Linked DNA regions of Kluyveromyces lactis. The main gene of each other region encodes a partner of the protein of the gene in region 2 in a complex. Links are inferred from orthologs where the notes say so. Each region holds a gene or a part of one and is shown on either strand. Other genes may lie near its edges.

Region 1 (4,002 bases), on a different chromosome or scaffold from region 2:
GAACAAAAAAGATGGATCTGTGTTTGGTATATTCAATTCATGTGACACATATTTATTAGCATTTCTACCGTTGTTACGGTTGACGCTAGGTGGCTGCTGAAGCTGGGCGTTACTTTTCACACTGCGATTAAGCATATCGTGAGCCAGGACACCATTTATACTAAGACTAGGGATTGAAGGTGCGTTTTTGTTATTATCACCAGTTTCTTTCGAAAAGGAATTCGCGACACTGAACCCAAACTCCTTAAAACCTGACAGTATATCACCACCGAAGTCAGACAGCTTGACACCACATTTCCTACTATTATTCATCGCATTGAAACCAGGCGCAACCTTCGACCCTCGAGAATTGTCAGAATCTTCCGGATTTAACAGTACATTCGCACCGATGTCACTGGGACTATCGACATTCAAATAATCGTCAATATCCATACTGTTCTCTCAGTCAAAAAAAAAAACAACAAAAACAACTCGGAATACAAGTCTCAAAGTCAGGTAATATTATATCCAAAGGGGAAACCAATATGTTTTTCGAAAACTCTGTTCTCTGTTCTTTCTTTCCTATGAACTGGAAAGACTGAAAAGAAGAGCTTTATAAAATCGACACACTTATAACGTCGAAATTTAAAGTATTAGAATATTAGGGGTAGTTCAAAGCACCGCAAAATTCAGCGATTTATCTGTACTAATAACACACAACACTGATGTGTATCACAGGCTGCGTACCACTGTTTTATCTCTGAATTAGTCTCACTATTTCACTTCTATTCACCTAACAAAAAAAAAATCACATCGTCATTATATTATAACTTAACTTACTTTTTTTTTTTTTGGGAATTTTCCCTTTTCTTTACCAAAATTGCCAAAAGTTCAAAGCCTTTAAAAACTTTCAACACACTTAAAGCCTGCACTTATACCGGCCAGCTTTAAGCTTTTCTTATCTGAAGCTGCGACTTTTCTGCGGGGAAATGAGATGGAAAACGGAACATAAAAAATTTAAAAAAGAAAATGGTGATACTTGCAATGAATAAATCAGTGTTATGGGAGCATTGAGGTTCGAACGGCAGAAGCATGGCATTTTCTTGTTTGTCTCATTTGATTATTATTATTTTTTTTTTTTTTTTTTTAAATCAGAGCAGCTTAAGCAGTTGTACTTTGTACATACTTTATACATAATTTGTACATAATTTGTACCCAGCTCATACGTTGCACGATACATGTAACGAGCAGCACATTAACTCGTTGTGTTAACGTTTTCAATTGTAATTTTTTATTCTGTGTTAGTAATTTCACAGGATAATTGGTAAGAAACGATACCGGAGAGTTTTTCTGGTTTCACTTTAACAATTATATCAGCTTTTGCAGTAAATACAGCTTCTCCCCCCGAGGAACATGGATGAAGTACAATATTCTATGATGAGCAGCGGTGTGAAGAAAGGTCAAGGAGCGAAACAGAATGGGGGTGCTATTCCCGCAGGTGTTGGGCAGGATTTGAGTAGGAAGGATAAGAAGCGATTACAGTTTGAAGGGAAAGTGGGAAAGATAAGAACGTCGTTTGCAAAGGATAAAGATGTGCATTATAGGGATAGGTTGACTCTGTTACAGACAGATTTAACGACGCTGCATCAGGGGAATAACCCTGAATTTCTGAGGAAATTGAGGGATCTTGAAGAAGATAGGGATTTGGAATTAGTTAGGCTCAGGCTTTTCGAAGAGTACCGGATTTACAGGTCCAAAGTAGAGTTCCAAGAAGATATTGAAAAAGCCAAGCAAGAACATGAAAGGATGATCAAATTGTGCAAAGAGATGTTGTATGAATCCCTACAGAAAACTATCAAGAAATTGCAAGAGGAACGGCTACTTCTGGATGTAGCAAACACACAGTCTTATTCGATGGATTATTCTCGAGGGAAATTCCAGAAGCAGACTAGAAGCTCAACTCAAAATTCAGCCAATTTTTCGGCTTGGGATTCGTCACCGAACGATGTCAGCCAAACAGAAAGTGGCAATGAGACTGGTAATACTACCGATAGGAGGTCATTGCGTAGGCGTGCTGCTACTAATCAGAATAGAGCTCAAACTCCTGCAAACATTACACCTGCAAACGGAAGCGGGAAATCAAGCAATACTAATAGCGATGCAGAGTCGATGCAATATCTGAGCGATTCATCAGAATTACAGGCTTTATTGTTCGGAAAGGAAAAGGAAAAGGAAAAGAAGATGGGTCGAGGTCACCAAAGACTTTCGACAAAAAGCGCTCCTATTCTTCAATCTTTAACTCCGGATGAGGTTACTGATGATATATCTTTGATAAGAAAGCTAACGGGCCAAGTACCAGCCCCATTCAAATGAATATCAATAGTTGGATTTATCTTGTAAATCTGGTCTGGGGTACAAGTGAAGAAACTAAAATGTTACCAGTTTTTTTTTTCTGTCATCCAATATTTCCCAAACTGCTTAGGTCCCAAATACTATCCGTTATTGTCAGTCTTATACCTTGTATTTTTAGTGTATCTCATGTGTAATACTACTACTTTATAATACTGCGTATTTTTTAATGTATGCACAAAAAAGTGAACAGAATCTGAATTTTGATATTTCAGTTATCTATTGACGATGATTTATGCGCAATACGCGATCCATTTATAAACATAAACTCAACAGTCGATTAAAGTACCAAGAATATTAGTATAAAACCTCATTCTTTCATCTTCAACTATTGGGACGTACACATTCATCTTTTCCACTTTTTTTTGCATGATTACTGATAGTTTCCATCTTATCTCATGAGGAATAGAACCAGAAAGCTACTGATAGTGATAACAATTGCACTTCTAATTTGTGTTGGTGTACACCATATTGTGCGAACGGAAGAAGCTGCAATATGGGAAGATGCTGTAGTCTACTCCTCAGCGGATCGCGCCTCTAAGAAGGAACATCCCTTCTTTGAAGGGTGTGTGGATACTGCAGAATATCTAAATCACAAAAAATATGAACGACAGAATGCCACATTTGTGATGTTAACAAGAAACGAGGAGCTGGATGGGGTAATTCACACTATGAGATCTGTGGAAAGAAGATTCAATCAATGGTTCCAATATCCGTACGTTTTTATGAACAACGAACCATTCACTGATGAATTTCAAGAAAGAGTCCGATCATTAACAACTGCCAACATAACGTTTGCCCTTGTAGATGAGTCCTCATGGAATTTCCCTAAGGAGAACACTCCACTATTTCAGCATTACGTTGAATCCCAGGGTGATCGTGGAATTATGTATGGGAATATGGTTTCATACCATAAGATGTGCAGATTTTATTCCGGACTCTTCTATAAACACCCTGCAGTTAGGCAATACGAGTGGTACTGGCGTATTGAACCAGATGTGGAATTCTTCTGTGATCTAACTTATGATCCATTCTTTGAAATGAAGAAGGCAGGAAAGAAATACGGTTTCACAATTTTTATCAAAGAAATATATTGGACTGTGCCGAACTTATTTAGAGCAACCAGAAGTTTCATCAAGCAAAACGATATCAAACTCGGATCACTGTGGAAAGCCTTTATTAAGAATAGAAACGTTTTACTCGGAGATGATTATTTAAATTCCTTTGTCAATGAACTAGAAGAATTGAACGAAGAAATGACCCACGAATTTCTGATTGACTATTTGAAGAAGAATTGGGCAAGAGAAAAAGTCATAGATGACGAGCTAATACAAGAAATTGCTCATAGGGTCAGGAGGAAAGTTCCTGTCGTTGAAGACAAATTTGACCAAGAAGAGTACAATTTATGTCATTTTTGGTCCAATTTCGAAATTGCTAGAGTTGATGTATTTGATAATGAAGTATACAACAAGTATTTCGAATACCTTGAGTCGTGGGGTGGATTCTGGCAAGAAAGATGGGGGGATGCGCCTGTGCATTCGTTAGGTTTGGCCTTAACATTGAATGCAGAAGACATCCATTATTTCAGAGATATCGGATATCAACATACTACAA
Region 2 (5,367 bases):
AAATCTTACTCCTGTACTCCACAGTTCTACAACGTTAGAAACTTGAAGAAACCTGAGGGCTGGCAAAACTTCACATGAATTCAAACGAGGAGAAAAATATAACACTAACCATACATAAAATATACGTGTAACAAGAAACGCTTTTCTTCTTTTTTAGTCTTATAGGAGGACTGTGAAGGATCCAAGTCGGACTTTTTCTTCCTCTCAAGACAACAAACAGAAGGCTTTTTATTGTATTATATTCATTAAATAATTTCTTTCAAAAGAAGTTGTCGTAACGGAAGTGCATAAATAATATCATTATAGAGGGGTCCAGTTCAAATTGAACTAGTTTTTTGTTGCTCGAACTTCTTGAACAACGAATGGGTCAACTCCACTCCCAAGAAAGTGGCCGCATTAGCTGGGAATGATCTCAAAATGGCAGGTCCAACACCAGGGAAGAACCCTTTAATACCACCTCTTGTGTTGTAGATCATGCGCGTCACTTCAAGCATCGATTGACGCTTGGAAGATGATTGTAATTGTGTCTTCACAGTATCAATGGGGAACACTACTACCCACATAGAAACACCTGCCATACCACCACTGATACAAACGTTGGTAATTGACAACTCTCCTGAGGTATGTCCGCTTGCCTTATTCAAATATTCCTTGCAAATCTCATAACTGGCAAAGTATAACGCACTTCCTGGCCCATCACGGGATAAAGTCGCTAGAGAACCCTTGAATAGAGATTGGAAACCCTGTGTGCGCACTATCTGTTTGGCAGCATCCAAAAACGAAGCTTTACCCTGAGTAGTTTGTAAGACAACTTTAACACGTTCAGTGGGTGCAGTGACTAACGTAGTAGGAATTGCACTGATGAACCCTGCTGCTGCCATCTGTGACAATGTCAATTCTGGTTCCACTGCTGCGGCACCACTAGCCGCCGAAGAGGGCACACTCGTGACCAATTTTTTACCTACGTCATAACCCCAGAAGGACACAGCAAAGATTGGAGTAACACCCAATAATGGAGGGACCACACCTTTATAAAACCCACGCACTGCATTCAAAGAAGTAGGACCGGCTGCCTGACGTGCAGCTTGTAGAATATGTGAGACTGCATCCATGGCACTACGTGCTTGGTTTGATTGACATCTGACTTTCACCAAATCAAAAGGATGTCCGGTCAACACTGCACAAACACCTCCAACACCGCCTGCAGCTAATGACTTCAAATTTTCTGTTAATTGTGACTTTGTTTGGGAAACATCATTAACATGCGATGTTTCCAATTCAATTTCAATGGAGGCGTCACTCATTTTTCCCTTTTCAATAGTGTTCGTCGAAGTGATACTGTATATATATACGTTAGCTTTGGTGCACTTTGATCAGACCAATTTCATATACCTCGGTACTGAATGTTCTTCTTATCTAAGTGTATGCTTCAGGTTTGCACCGAAAGGCTGTGATTTATATATCTACGAAAAAAAAAAAAAACGTTTCTCTTCCTCATGAAAGTAATTAGCCATGATATTGCTGATCATTAACATCATATCATCATCATAATCATCAAACATTCAGGATTTTCTTTTGGTCCAGGATTGTGACTTTCTTGGTGAATCATTATAGTCATCACCAAAAAAATTCTCAAGTTAACGGACTTTGTAGAGATAATCTAGGATTGATACAAGGAATCAGTACAACATTTTGTGTGACTGGCCGTTAGAAATAGAATCAGCCCTGAATGCATGACAACAAATGAAAGAACAGATACTCTACAATTTAAGTACAAGGTCATGTGCTGGAACATCTCCAAATTCGCACGGGATCCCTGCGGCTGTTTCCCTGCGTGATCCATTCATTATTTCTGATACATATTCCCTTTTTACCTTATTTTACCCGATGCCGACAGGATTTAGTGTCAGCAAAATTCTAATCGCCTTTTTTTTTTCTATTTAGAGCGGGGGAAATGAAGTGACAAATGTGACACAGGTGGAAGGAGACAACAGTGAAAACAAAAAACATAAACAAAAGATTGCGGACAGGGTTTCACGGATGATCGTAATCAAACAAACCCCGAGCTTTCCATTGTATAACCTACTTAGAATCCAAAACGATTATTTAATACCAATCACGTGATAATAATTTTCACGTGATCTATTTTTCTTTTCTTCAGGTTCTCGCTTAGTCTTATTAAAAGCTTTGAATATCAAATTTATACCTTTTCTTTTAGGTCAGGTAACTAGAATTGTTTAGCATACCGGATAAGTGCACGCAATACAATTACATGTTGTATGTAGTGTATTGACATTTGTGTGATTCAAAAGATCTCTCAATCCAGTAGGAATCACAAGCTGTACTACATATCACGATAGCGAGACATAGACAATACAACTCAAGATATGGCAGCACCTGCAAATTTATACCCTGGTCTTAATGATATTAGTGATGTATTGGAAGAGGTGCCATTAGACGTTTCACGGTACATGACTCTACTCTATGAAATTGATGCTAAATGCGTTAATATAATTCCTGAACTAAATAAATGCATTAAAGGATTCCTTGGTGGGAGAAACGTTCCTGATGAGTCCAAGGTTCCTCTACGTGTGATAAACCAATGGTTTCAAGAGCTGATCCCGTCATTGGAAGAGAAGATGCATGTTTCATCTATAGCCTACGATTCTTTAGAAAGGTTAACGGACAGGTTGGAATTAGCCTACGAGGTTGCTATTTCCAATCAAGAGATTCCAGAGAAGTTAAGACTAGGTAACGATAACCATCCAGCGATGCATTTGCATCGTGAGCTTATGGCTAAGGTCGAATCAAATGTAATGACGAAGTCTCAACAAGCACTGAAAAGTGAATCCCGTAGAGAAGCCATGGCTGCAAAGAAGACAACTGGGGGAACTGCTGTTCAAGGTGGGAACGCTGCTGGAACGGCAAATTCAGGTTCTGTCGGATCCACAGCTGGTTCTACTTCAACTTCTGGAACCGGTGCCTCCACAGCAGTCGCAGGATCAGAACCAGTAGTTGCGGCGGTAGGATCACATGGAAATGCTCCAAACCAAGGAGCAAACACTCAAACAAATGGTCACAACCGCTCTTCCACTATGGCAGGTCATAAGAACGGAAATGCGCATAACCACAACCATAATGACAATAGCCATTCTCATGCAGATGATATACAACCAGCGAACACTAAGAAAAGGAGAAATAACAACGGGACAACTACTGTCTCAACATCTAGTTCAAACAATAACAACTCTTCTGCAAATAGTACTGCCGCACAAAGAAGGAACAAAAAAAGAGTAAACACCACGGCTGCTAACAATGGCGTTACCGGGAGTAACACGACAGCTGTAAATGCAGTCAACGCATCAAATAAGTATCAAAACAGACCAAAGATCAACGAATATGGAGAAGCACTGTATTGTTACTGTAATCAGGTCGCATACGGAGAAATGGTTGGATGTGATGGCGAAAACTGTCAATTAGAATGGTTCCATCTTCCCTGCATTGGCTTGGAAACGCTACCTAAAGGGAAATGGTACTGCGATGACTGTTTGAAAAAGAATTAGCTAGCTGCACCAACATAATATTTACCACCGGAAATAAATATAATATATATCACTGTCTCGTCACTCAGTTCATGATGCATAAATGCAAAAGGAAAAAAACCCTTGAGATATTCAACCTCGATCTCAGCAACTACTGAGAATATAATTGATCTGGTCAAGCATCATTTTTTTGGGAAATTCTATTTCCATTTCCATTTCTTGTCGAAAGAAATAATAATAAGCAAGCAGCAGCATCGTATTGATGAGAAAAAAAGGGTTCCTTCAATTCATGTAATCTGTCTCTTTTCGCATACTTACCGAATTTGAAATAAAAATTTAGAAAAATAAAAAAAATTTTTGTTGTACCTTATAATAATAAGCTTTGTTAAATTCTACTTATGTACGTTGACAACACCTATGCACAATCATTGCTCATATCATAGGGAAAAGAGGGACCTCGTTGTAGATTAAAATAGTGAGGGATTTACATTTGTACACTGCGAAATGTCGTTAAATAAAGTATGTTATTGTGTGTGTGCTGGAATATGGCTTCTGATCTCCTCAGTTTGTCTCTTCTTTGTACATTTCACTTCGTGGTAACATTGGGTCTTTGAGATTTGACAAAAGTATACTAACAGTTCAATTAAAATAATGTTCGAGTATACGTGATGCAATGCCGATGACTTTGTTGAAATATGATGATAAGGTGTGAATTTGCTTCCTCTTCAGGGGGTTTCCCTTTAATTTTAGGTCGTTAATTCATCATTGTCTTTCAGCACTGTCTGCATGTATTATTTGAACATTATTTTCTCTCTCGCAGCCCTGCTGTGACACCTTAGAGCAATATCAGAGAATATAAACTAGTCGTCGTTGGTGGCGGTGGTGTTGGTAAATCGGCGTTGACGATCCAATTAATTCAATCGCATTTCGTTGACGAATATGACCCGACTATCGAAGACTCCTATAGAAAACAAGCGGTCATTGATGACAAGGTCTCAATTTTGGATATTTTAGATACTGCAGGTCAAGAAGAATATTCAGCAATGAGGGAACAGTATATGAGAACTGGGGAGGGGTTCTTATTGGTTTATTCCGTTACGTCGAAAACTTCTTTTGAAGAATTGATGACATATTATCAGCAGATTCTAAGAGTCAAGGATTCGGATTATGTTCCTGTGTTTGTGATTGGTAACAAGTCTGACCTTGAGGACGAAAGACAAGTTTCTTATGAGGAAGGTCAAACTTTGGCCAAACAATTCGACGCTCCGTTCTTGGAAACTTCTGCAAAACAAAATATCAACGTCGAAGAATCTTTCTACGGGTTGGTTCGTCTAATCAGAGATGAGGGTAAGGGATTCAGCAGCAGTAGCGCTAGAGCAGATGCTGAAAAGGATAAACTTGCTAAACTGGAGAATCAACGCCAGGCTTCTGGTGCTACTAACCAAGGAACTACTGGCAAAACTAATACTAAGGCTACCAGTGGCGTAGCAAATGGTTCTGCGTCCGCAGGTGCCGCAGAAGATCAAAATTCTCAATCTAATGTACCTTCTAACAATAAAATTACCAATTCTTCTGCTCAAAAGAACTCTAAAACCACAGAAAACCAAAGAAAGACTCAGACTGGCTCTAAAAACTCTGAAAATGATAAAAGTGGTTCTGGATGCTGTATTATTTGTTAGATACTGAAGTGCCGGTTGTTTAATATCTTAATTACTTTCTCGGTCATTTATATTTCTCTATGTCCAATCGATCACCTCGAAAAAAAGCGAAGAAAACTACCAAAATGTCAAAGCACAATGTCCATACTTCTTCTAGAGGAACCGCT

Evidence for each region.
Region 1: PHO23 (region 2) and SDS3 share a complex: the UniProt entries of both Saccharomyces cerevisiae proteins name them as parts of the RPD3C(L) complex. The link is inferred for Kluyveromyces lactis from reciprocal best matches to the Saccharomyces cerevisiae genes PHO23 and SDS3.

The regions. Positions count from the first base shown.
Region 1 is NC_006041.1:773,435-777,436, reverse strand, and holds SDS3 (Sds3p), read left to right. Parts: upstream 1-1,392; coding exon 1,393-2,352; downstream 2,353-4,002. Other genes in the region: DNA-binding transcription factor CRZ1, read right to left, coding at 1-432; KTR5 (putative mannosyltransferase), read left to right, coding at 2,787-4,002. UniProt on the Saccharomyces cerevisiae protein: Component of the RPD3C(L) histone deacetylase complex (HDAC) responsible for the deacetylation of lysine residues on the N-terminal part of the core histones (H2A, H2B, H3 and H4).
Region 2 is NC_006039.1:1,141,856-1,147,222, reverse strand, and holds PHO23 (Pho23p), read left to right. Parts: upstream 1-2,387; coding exon 2,388-3,563; downstream 3,564-5,367. Other genes in the region: alpha-1,2-mannosyltransferase KTR1, read left to right, coding at 1-78; CRC1 (carnitine:acyl carnitine antiporter), read right to left, coding at 318-1,304; Ras family GTPase RAS1, read left to right, coding at 4,047-4,061, 4,382-5,221. UniProt on the Saccharomyces cerevisiae protein: Component of the RPD3C(L) histone deacetylase complex (HDAC) responsible for the deacetylation of lysine residues on the N-terminal part of the core histones (H2A, H2B, H3 and H4).